3 linked regions of the Xenopus tropicalis genome follow. The protein of the gene in region 3 purifies or fractionates together with the protein of the main gene of each other region. This does not show direct contact. Links are inferred from orthologs where the notes say so. Each region holds a gene or a part of one and is shown on either strand. Other genes may lie near its edges. The genes, in order: park7, prdx2 and prdx5.

The links.
Region 1: the proteins of prdx5 (region 3) and park7 fractionate together in Homo sapiens (co-fractionation; 3 studies listed by BioGRID). This does not show direct contact. The link is inferred for Xenopus tropicalis from reciprocal best matches to the Homo sapiens genes PRDX5 and PARK7.
Region 2: the proteins of prdx5 (region 3) and prdx2 fractionate together in Homo sapiens (co-fractionation; 3 studies listed by BioGRID). This does not show direct contact. The link is inferred for Xenopus tropicalis from reciprocal best matches to the Homo sapiens genes PRDX5 and PRDX2.

Annotation. Positions count from the first base shown.
Region 1 is NC_030683.2:96,565,047-96,569,335, reverse strand, and holds the start of park7 (protein deglycase DJ-1), read left to right. Parts: upstream 1-1,335; 5' UTR 1,336-1,345; coding exon 1,346-1,435; intron 1,436-3,449; coding exon 3,450-3,551; intron 3,552-4,289. UniProt on the Homo sapiens protein: Multifunctional protein with controversial molecular function which plays an important role in cell protection against oxidative stress and cell death acting as oxidative stress sensor and redox-sensitive chaperone and protease.
Region 2 is NC_030679.2:140,338,176-140,340,714, forward strand, and holds part of prdx2 (peroxiredoxin-2), read left to right. Parts: intron 1-682; coding exon 683-778; intron 779-971; coding exon 972-1,125; intron 1,126-2,539.
Region 3 is NC_030680.2:34,742,847-34,747,224, forward strand, and holds the start of prdx5 (peroxiredoxin-5, mitochondrial), read right to left. Parts: upstream 2,921-4,378; 5' UTR 2,846-2,920; coding exon 2,834-2,845; intron 289-2,833; coding exon 154-288; intron 1-153. UniProt on the Homo sapiens protein: Thiol-specific peroxidase that catalyzes the reduction of hydrogen peroxide and organic hydroperoxides to water and alcohols, respectively.

The sequences.
Region 1 (4,289 bases), on a different chromosome or scaffold from region 3:
CTGACCTGAAAACATCTATTAATACAGTACCTAAAACAATGGTGCCTCTTTTACAATTAGCACTGTTAACCCATTGGTTTCTTGCTCACCTGTTCACTTGTCGATCAGTAATGTATTGTGATACAATTACGAAAAGCACAGATTTGCTTTCCTAGATTATCCTAAAAGCAAAACTTCTGTTTAAATTACATAAAAATGTATTCTGTACACCTAACGTTTGTATGAGTTCATCCAGCGCGTTCTATTATAAGGTTCATTCTATAGCCCTATAGAGAGCCATGAATGCCCACTGTATCATATACAGCTTATCAGTTATCTGCTATGTAAAGGTGTGTCCTATAGCCCCATGAGAACTTGGATTGTTGCTCCCATGGCTACACAGCAACTTATTTTACCATAGTAGCACTTGTCAAGCAAACTCAATTTTCTCATGCAGAGTAAACATGCCCAAACTCAGTTGGGGAGTCTGGACTATTGCCTGAATGCCTATCCTGTCAATCAAAGACTTTACCAATAAAGTGATGTGGGCCCAGTCCCAATGGGTCTGCATAGACTTTACAGACCAAAGGGCCCCTGAGAATGCAGAGAAGCTAGGTCCCTTAATGCAATACTGAGTGGAAAACTTGTTAAACTAAAACTCTCCAACCTCCCTAAGGTGTCAAAGGCTCATGTTAATACAATGTATGTAGTATCAACATGTCTTTCCCTTAGAGATCCCATTAGGACTGGGGGCCCAGATGGCGGCAGGGCTTGAGCTAAGTGGGTGTGTGAGTGGGTACAAGCGCCTCTCATATTATAAAGCTACTCACACAATGACAGGAATGATATTAGTACCGGGAATGTGTGCGTTAAACGTGGGTGAGTGAGGCCGGGTCCCTACCGTCAGATAGCCAGTCTCTCTCTCAGCCTACTCCCACAGATAGCGCACAATAGCATGGAATTGCCTTCTGGGTCAGGAACAAGATGCGCCTGCAGTCGCCGCTATTATTCCCTTTCTCTCACACTCACAGAACAGACAGAAGGTGACGCCATGGGTCATGTGACCGAGCTGTGCCTGTGGGACGCGCTGAGGCAGGAAATGGTGTGTCGGGACTACGACTCCCAGCATTCCAGCAAAGCTTGAAACCTGTCGAGCACCACTGTAACCGCAATGTGAAAGTTCAAGCTATGAAGCCGGAAAAAATACAATGTACAGTTAGAGCCCCCGTTGCGCATTTAATTGAATTAAGCAGAGTTTGACACAAGAGGCTTTCCGTCAGTTGATGCAGGGGGTGGGGCTGTACGTGAGATATTGGTGCGCTCTGGCCCTGGAGGCGGAGTTTGTGAGCTAGCGGAGAAAGAGAGTATGGCTGGCAAGAGGGCTCTATTGATTTTGGCCAAGGGGGCCGAGGAGATGGAGACAGTCATTCCCGCTGATGTGATGAGAAGGGCAGGAGTGAGTAATACATGGCTGCTAGCTGCTTGCGAGACCGTATGGCTGTGCAGCTTGCTGGGCATGGAGGGGTGGTTACACTGAGCTCTGAAGGTGTGGTGCGCTGGCACTGTAACTATTGGCTGGATACGGATTTCTAACATCAGGAAGTTCTAGTTCAGTAGCCGCCGCAGGTTGCCATTAGTTAGTGACTGTGCAACAGGTCCCTCTATCAGTGGCTAAGCACTGCTGCTGAACAGTCACACTGCCTATGTCTGCCTGGAGAAATCCAGCCCTTGCTGTCTGTGGCCTGAGCTGGGAATTAAGCACGTTTGATTCTTTGCCTCATTTGCCCACTCAGTTGTTAGGCGAAATCTGCTGCAGGGATTGCTTGGCCCCAGTGCCAAAATCAGCTCATAATTGGGACCTGTGCTGTCCTACTGGGAGGCACCTTGGCAGTCAGTGCTGGGTCTCAGTCAGTGGGCATGCCTTCCTTTTGGCCCCATACATGGGCTTTAAGATACTTAGTTTGTCTGGATTTAATGACTGCACTTGTCCTGCCAGCTTCTCCTGCCACTGTATGTGATTAACCTGCTGGCACGCAATATAGAAGATATAGAGACCAGAGTCTCTCCCACAAAACAAAGCAGGATCAGTTACCCTTTCTCTGAAAGGTTTGTTAACATTACCCTGTTACCTGGAATGTCTGTATGTGATTTAACACTAAGTGTAAAGATTTAAAATCTAGACCTTTCATGGAATGCAAAATAAGAGAATATATGTACAGAGTAACATAGGTTGAAAAAAAGACACACATCCATCAAGTTCATCCTTTTATGCCTAAATCCTGTCTGTTAGTTGATCCAGAGGAGGGCAATATATCTCTTCTGTTGCAATGACCTGCCCTTTGGGTACTGGTAACTGCAGTTTAGGTAAAAAGGAATGATTACAGAGACCTCTAGTGGTAACAAACCACTGTGCAACTTGTGTGTAATGTAACTTTGTGACCTGTGGTGTTTTTATTATCACCTATTAATAAAATACCAACATATTCCACAGTGTTGTACAACAAATGGGTATATCCATTAAATAAACAAGAAAATATACAATTACAACCAACAACCTATACAATACTTAAAGAAGACCCTGTCCAGAAAAACTTTCAACTTTCAAAAAGGGGTAATTTACTATGACCCGGGCACAAAGGGATGCAAATGGCAGAAACCCTGGCAGCACTACCTTCTAAAATAACTACAAGCTCGTGGACATTGCCTCCAGCAATCATATGCTCAAGAAGTCAGTCCATTGGGCAAATTTTAGACACAAATTGCAGTGTGTTGTTTATTAACATTGCAGCTGATTGGCTGTAAGGTGAGCTGTAGAGTAGGCATTCTTCACATTTTTTGATGTGTTGACAATTTAGAGATCAGTGCCATTTACTGCATTTGTGTACAGACTCCACAATATTCAGAATTCCTGTATTATTGTGGGCACATAATAGTATCAAAAGAAAAAGAGAGGAGCGTGCTCCCATAGGATAATATCAATGGTATAATTTTTTAATTTAAATATATTGCACGTAAATAAATAGCAGCAGTATCAACATCTCAACAGCAAAGTCCATATAAGCCTATAGTGTACAGACTTCCTTTGTGCCCCTGAGGAAGTCTTTTTATCAGAACAACACTTCGTAATAGTGTCTGATTCAACTTATATACTAAATATTGATGGAAAATAGTATGTGTTTTGGTAAACTGCACCTAAGTTACTATGTACAGTTGGCATCACTTCCAGGTCTTCAAATTCACATGCCATCAATAGTGGCTTTCCTGTCTGATATACTTGGTGTAAGTCAATTGAATCTGTGGGCACAAACCACTAATGGAAACCTGGAGCTACTGGCAGGTCAAGGCTCTCTTAATCCCATGGATCCCTTGTGTCAATGCACACAGTTGCATGCAATTCATGAGAGCAGGTCGAATGTTGCATGTTTTGTTAAGAAAAGTTTATTTACAGTTGCCATTTTTCCATTTACCAGATAAAGGTAACGATTGCAGGTCTAAGTGGAAAGGATCCGGTTCTGTGCAGCAGAGATGTGGTGCTGTGCCCTGACACTAGTCTGGAGGAGGCTCGAACACAGGTAAGGTATACGTTCATTATTCATAGGTGTGTTGGGCAAACACTCCTACTTTGGCTTACTGTACTGTGTTTTCTCTCGTGAAGGATAACCACATGCCTTCATTTTGCCTAAAAAAACTAAAATTAACTTTTTTTTTTTCTATAACATTTCTGACTGTGAAAGGCACATACATTATCCACTTGCAATATGATTTGGGGTAACCGGATTCTCTGTATAAATAGGCCATTGGGATTTTTGTGTCTAATCATGTGTGGATCTTGTGATATAAGAGTGTGTAGTGTGTTGATCAAATGCTTGTAGCTTGTTAGTTTTTATTTGCATGTATGAAGAATAATTCTAGCTAATATAGCTAGTGGAATACATATGTTCATTCTAGCAGCAATTCTTTACCGCTATAATCTCACTTTCAGCACAGGCAGGCATGGGCTGGGTGCTTTGCCGGCCAGAGCTGCTTTTTAGTGCCAGTCCAGCTCAGCCCTGCTTGGCTGCTTAACTGACAGTTTGAAGGTCAAAGTCTATTTCAGTACATGACACTTTAAAAACTCACCCACCTGCTAGATGTAAAGCCTCTTCATTTATGATCTTAGATATTACTTTCAGAGAATGCAGAAGATCTTTCAGGAACATCTTTCAGTGGACTTCTGGGAATATTACATTTTTTTGCAACACCAAAAAATACAGTTGTGTTTTATTAGTTGAAACTGCTGTTGACTAAATATTAATATATTATTATCCATT
Region 2 (2,539 bases), on a different chromosome or scaffold from region 3:
AACCCAATAGGGCTGTTCTGCCCCCAATAAGGGGTAATTATATCTTAGTTGGGATCAAGTACAGGTACTGTTTTATTATTACAGAGAAAAGGGAATCATTTAACCATTAAATAAACCCAATAGGGCTGTTCTGCCCCCAATAAGGGGTAATTATATCTTAGTTGGGATCAAGTACAGGTACTGTTTTATTATTACAGAGAAAAAATAAATTAATTTTAAAAATCTGAATAATTTGATGAAAATGGAGTCTATGGGAGACAGGCTTTCTGGATAACTGGTTTCCGGATAAGGGATCCCATACCTGTATCTGCTTCCCAGGCTAATGCCTTTCCTCTTTCTGCCCTATTAGCCACATAGGCAGGTTATTTGCCAGCTATAAGATACATTTGAGTCTCTTCTGCTCAAGGCTATTGGCAATAACACTGCCCATTGTATGTATCAGATGGTGGGTCAGGGGCTGTGTTGCTGCTGTTGTTGCCATGTGCCACATCTTTTTAATTAGAGATGCTTCTGATTTTTGGACATTGCACAATGCTGTAACGTATCCCCTATTAGGGTGTATGAGGTTAACACGGCTTCCCAGGGTTTTAAAGGGGAACTTCACCTAAATAATGGAGAAAATGAAATGTTGCCCAGCAATGTTTGGCTGTGGTTGAACTTTTTTTTTTTTTTTTTCTTACAGCAGTGAAGACTCACATTGGCCAGCCGGCCCCAGCTTTTAAGGCCACTGCTGTGGTCAATGGGGAGTTTAAAGACATCCAGTTGTCAGACTATTTAGGTAAGGTGCATGGAGCACTGCTGCACCCCCAATGTGTTTATTGCTGGAAAGTGATTAATAGGTGTGCGCTGTACTACTGCATGTGTTCAAAGCCTATTTAAAGTTGCACAGATCTGCTCCCAGTCACAAGCAGGCTGTTGGAGGTGGCAGTGTGTAGCCCAATCATTATTGGCAACTTTTTTCCCCTTGGCAGGTAAATACGTGGTTTTGTTTTTTTACCCATTGGACTTTACCTTTGTCTGCCCCACGGAGATCATTGCCTTCAGTGACCATGCTGGAGACTTCAGTAAGATCAACTGCCAGCTGATTGCCGTCTCCGTCGATTCCCAGTTCACCCACCTCGCGTGGTAAGTGCTGCCACTCCCGGCTTATCTCCTGGGTGGAGGGTGCAGTGTTCCGTTGCTTCTCTCATTTTACTGACTTATCAGTGACAGACCTTTAGCTGCACTATTCAGCCATATTCATGCTTCCCCCAGCATCCAAGTTAGGCTAATGGCCTTAAAGGGGAACTCTGACTTCTGAACCAAAATTTGTTAGAGCCCCACACAATACAGAAACCCCTAATATACCTATTGCTGTAATCTGTTCCTTCAGAAAGTATGAATCAATACCATTTTTATATGCTGAAATCCAGCTGCAAAATGGTTCTTTCTACATCATTTGAAATCCTGGCAGGGGAGGAGGGACTAAAACATTAATGTTACAAATTGTAATAACTTCTCAGCAGCTTACAGCATGCAGGAACTACATAACCCACAATGCACTGCACTGTGATCTTTCCTTATTGACATCACATGCAGGGGATTGTGGGATTGGAAGGAATACTGGCTGCAGACAGGCGACTTTTACATTTAATTTGAGTCTCAAAGCAGTCAGTCAGATCAACAGGGGGCGGGGCTTAGGGAACTGTTCCAAACCCTATTACATTACAAATCATGAAGGCTGCATATTTTTAATTGATGTATATTGCAGAGTTACTTAGAATGGCTTAAGTTTCGAAAAGCTCAAGTTGTGTTTGGGTGGAGTTCCCCTTTAACTGTAATTAGGCAGGAAACCACAGTGGTTGCATCTTGTAAGTGGTACCCATAAGGAGAGGTCTTCCTGAGACCCCCCCCCCCCCCCGCCAGGGCTGCTTCAGGCATGTTTCCCATAGATTACTATGAAGTTGCAATTTGATATTAGTCTTTCTAATCACTTAAATATTACCCCCCTTCCCCCAGGCCTGCATCTGGACTTCAAAATAGGCCCTGGCATTCCAAGTACACAGAGGCCCAAACAGCCCCCCCAAAGGCCCAATAAATAGTGAGTGTCTATGGCTCCTTACAGCAGCCCCTCTGGCATTTGCCTGAACCCACAGATTGCCAGTCCGGGCCTGATTTTCAGTACACAGAGGCCCAAACAGCCCCCCCCCCCATAGGCCCAATAAATAGTGAGTGTCTATGGCACCTTACAGCAGCCCCTCTGGCATTTGCCTGAACCCACAGATTGCCAGTCCGGGCCTGATTTTCAGTACACAGAGGCCCAAACAGCCCCCCCCATAGGCCCAATAAATGGTGAGTGACTATGGCACCTTACAGCAGCCCCTCTGGCATTTGCCTGAACCCACAGATTGCCAGTCCGGGCCTGAATAAATCGCACTATAATGCCCTCATACTGCACATAGCATTGTATTTAGCTCATAACAATTAACCCTAACACAGTAAAAAAACAGCAAAAAGTCGGCAAAAACCCTTGAGGAATAGAGGCCTCTAATCTGCATGG
Region 3 (4,378 bases):
ACAAGAGGATGGAGGTCCCTGCCCCGTAGAGCTTACAATCTATATGGGAGGGTAACTTACAGACACAAGTAGGCAAATATAAGTGCTGTAGGTCACAGTGGGTGACACTACAATATAAGTGCCATTTCCCTGATCATGCTTCTCTTCCTTTACCTTGGAGCAGCCAGGAGTGAACGCCCCCGGGACACCAAACAGCACCCCCTTCTTGTTAGCAAACACATCTCTGATGCTGACCTTGTTCCCAGGCCCCCCCTCATACACCGTCACATTAGGAAGTTGATCTCCAACCTGCAAGTATTGAATAAAAAAAAAACCCCAATGAAATATTAATTGTCTATAACAAGGAAGTGTACAAAGTTGTCTCAGGGATTTGCCCACAACCGAAATCCATTGTGTAAGTAATTTCCTTTACACGACACTGGAATTTATTAAGGTGTCTCTTCCTCATTGCGACATGTATAAGATTACAGTTACCAGCTTTGGGTAACAATTAGCAGTATCAGGTTGCCACGGCTTATTTTTCTTTCAGTGTATATGCAATTACAGTAGTCCTTCTGTGACAATACACTTATACAAATGGCAAGCAGCTTTAACAGGATGGATCACTGCTCCTAAATAATGAATGTATTCAGAGTAATGGATATTTCATGCTAATATCATAATACTACACATATTAATCTGAAAATTATAAGAAACAACTATATGTTCCTAGCCTTGGGCACATATATGTCCCCTGCAAATAAAGTATATATTGAATATAGACCAACATCACACTAGCCTATGTCTCGGCAGCAAACAGGTGTTCAGGGAAGTCTGACAGGTGGGTGCTGTTACCTGGCACCATGCAGGGAGAGCAAAGAGGGAAGCCTGTGAGCATAAGAATAGTGGATATAAGAATAATGGATTTGCAGCAGGGTCAGAGTGTTGTGTGTAAGGTGGGCTGATGTACTGATGAAGCAATACAAAAATTAGGAAAGTATTGAATACCAGATCTGATCATTTTCAGATTTAGAAGACTCCTTATTCCTGGCCGAACTGAATCCAAACCCTAAACATCACATGACTTTAGACAATGTGACAGATGAAGGTTGATGATTATTTTTTGAATGCTGTGTTTTTTTCCAAATGTTGTTAATTACATATGCAAATTAGTGTTTGGCTTTGGTTCGGTATTTGGACAAATCTGGTGTGGTAGAGTCCCACAAACTGACATGGGTGTATTAGTAGGGTGTTTCACTTATTAACCACCTAAAGCAGATTTTGGGGGAAGGGTGAATCCTCAGCGCATACCCAACAATAAAAGAACATTCTAGGCAACTTTCCAATACACAGTCATTACACATTTTCAGTTGTTTAAGAGTTATGTGTAAATGTCACTGCTACTGAAAAAACTAAAAGTTTTTTTTTATCCCTTTCTGTTTTGATTCTCTGCAAACAATATATTTGAAATCAGTTCTCTGGGTATATTATCCAGCCTCTGCTCTGTTGCTTTAGAAGGTACCAATAACTTTGAAGCATTCATTGTTATATGTATATTGGAACATTGCTTATAACCGTGGTCCCCAACCCGTGGCTCAGGAGAAACATGTTGCTCCCCAACCCTTAGATGTTGCTCCCAGTGGCCTCATAGCAGCTGCTTATATTTGAATTTCTGGCTTAAGGTGGCCATACACGCACCGATATTATCGTACGAAACCTCGTTTCGTACGATAATCGGTGCGTGTATGGTATGTCGGCGAGTCGACCGATATCGCAGGAACCTGCTGATCGGACCAGTTGGAAAATTTTGATCGGGCGCCATAGAAGGCGCCTGACCAAAATTCTCCCTTCAGATCTGAATCGGCATAAGGAGGTAGAAATCCTATTTTTTCTACCTCCTTACCTGCCGATTCAGCCCTGAATGGTGTGTGGCGGATCTTACGATGTTTCGTGCGACCGATGGTCGTACGAAACATCGTCAGATCGCCACGTGTATGGCCACCTTTAGAGGCAAGTTCTGGTTGCATAAAAACAAAGCTTTCTGCCAGTCCACATAGTGGCTACCGAATAGCCAATCATAGTGCTTATTTGGTACCCCCAGGTAAATTTTTCATGCTTGTGTTGCACCCCAACTCAGGTGAAAAAGGTCAGGGACCCCCAGCTTGGAATCACATTTCCTTTCACTATGCAAAAAATGAATAAACATTTGGGTGGAGTTTCCCCTTAATTTTGCTTGGAATTTGGATTATCTTATTGCAGGCCCGGACTGGCAATCTGTAGGCTCTGCTTAAAATGCCATAGACACTCACTTGCTACTGGGCCTCTGTGTACTTGATAAGGCAGAGCCTGCAGTATTTAGAATCTTAGCCCAGAGCTGCGATACTGTAACCAGACTAAAATAATCATTGCCAGGAGTAATTCCCCTGTTGCAATATACAAAGACGTGGAAACCCACTGGGAATTCTGGTGACAGCAGTTTGGCTTTTCAGCATGTTGTATGTATGTGTGTGTATATATATATATATATATATATATCTTAAACTCCAGTCCTTCATTATTTTATACAACAAGTGCACTGCAGAGCTTACTATCTATTAGTTGTACCTGGGCAAGCAGATAACATACCCAAGAACAGTAAGGAGTGAAAGCAGGAGCCACAGCATGCCAGGGAAGGAGGGCACACACGTTTATATAATCTAACTCGTATTTGACAGGCTGCCCAGTAGTATGAGATGTGGAATCCAGCCAATACCCACACAGAGAAATCTCTGCCGCACACAGGACATTGCTGCCGGTTACACTGTGCCAGCGCACATACCTGCCCACTACAAGCCGCTACTCGCTACATACGCACCTTTACAGACATGGCTCTTGTTCTGCTCACGAAACTTCCAACCGCTCGCAGAGGTGACAGGAGGAGGAATGAGACGGGGAGCCGAAGAGCCATGACAACCAAAGTGGGCTGAGCCGATGGGACACGGCAATTCCGCCCCTATAGGGCAGGCAAGGACTTTTTAAAAATTCCTAGCGCGCATGCGCGCACGGACAAAGCCCTTAACCTTTAAGGTTTGACGACGCATGCGCGGGGGGTTTGTTTCGCGGCAGAACGTAGCACTTTTTCTATTCACTATTTCTTTAATGTTAGTAGTGCTGCAATTGGGGTGTAATGCCGTCCCGCCTGTTCTGTTCTTCCCCCAAATTGCATTCCGCCAGGCAGTATGGCAGGTTTGTGCATAGGGAGCTTTGTTGTTGCCGCCCGACTTTCTCTTGCGGCTCTCTGGCTGCTCGTTCTGCCTCCGTGTGTTTCAAATGTGTCAGCAGCCAGCAGCACTTTACTAGATAATCCTACTAATCGGCACAGAAATACCCGCTTCATGTAGATCCTTGTTCTCAGTGCTGAAAAAGAAGGAGAAGCGAGAGGCACACTGATATCCCCCCATAACCCACAGAAAAACAGAGGCACAGTAATACACACCCACAGAAAATGAGAAGCACAGTGATACCCCCCCAGCCAATCACAGGCACAGTGATCCCCCCACCCCATAGGCCAAAAGAAAATCCAAGGCACAGTGATACCCCCCCCCCCCCCAGAAAATCCGAGGCTAAATGATCCCCCCCACCCCATAGACCAGTGCTGTCCAACTGGCGGCCCGCAACCCCCCTCTGTGCGGCCCCCCACCTGTCTGGCTGCTTTGATGGCTTACTCTTGTGTAAGCTTTAAATGGTATCAGTACTGAGATTAACTGCCCCCCCTGCATGGTTCTCACCTCTGATTCAGGCTGTAATCCCTCTGTATTGTTTAAATATGTAATCCCCTGTGTTGTTCACACCTTTTAATCTCTGCATTGTTCACCCCCTGTAGTGTTCACACCTCAGGCTCAGGCTGTAATCACCCATATTGTTCCCCTGTTCACACCTCAGGAGGAGTAGAAACCCACAAATAATCCCTGCACACTACAAAAAGAACATATACTGAGGTGGTACTGCAATTAAAAAGTTTTTTAATATATAGTTATTGTGCAGACTGTAGGAGCACTGCCAGCATTGTGTCACTGTATGCTGCCTGTGTGTGCCATACACACAGGCAGCATAGGGCAAGCAGAGTATGGCACACAGGCAGGGTAGGGAAGGCAGAGTATGGCACACACAGGAAGAGTAGGGCAGGCAGAGTATGGCACACACAGGCAGGGTAGGGAAGGCAGAGTATGGCACACACAGGAAGAGTAGGGCAGGCAGAGTATGGCACACACAGGCAGGGTAGGGAAGGCAGAGTATGGCACACACAGGAAGAGTAGGGCAGGCAGAGTATGGCACACACAGGCCAAGTTTGGCACAAACCAGCCAAGAATGGCACACACAGTGAAAGTATGGCACACGCAGGCAGGATAGGGAAGGCAGA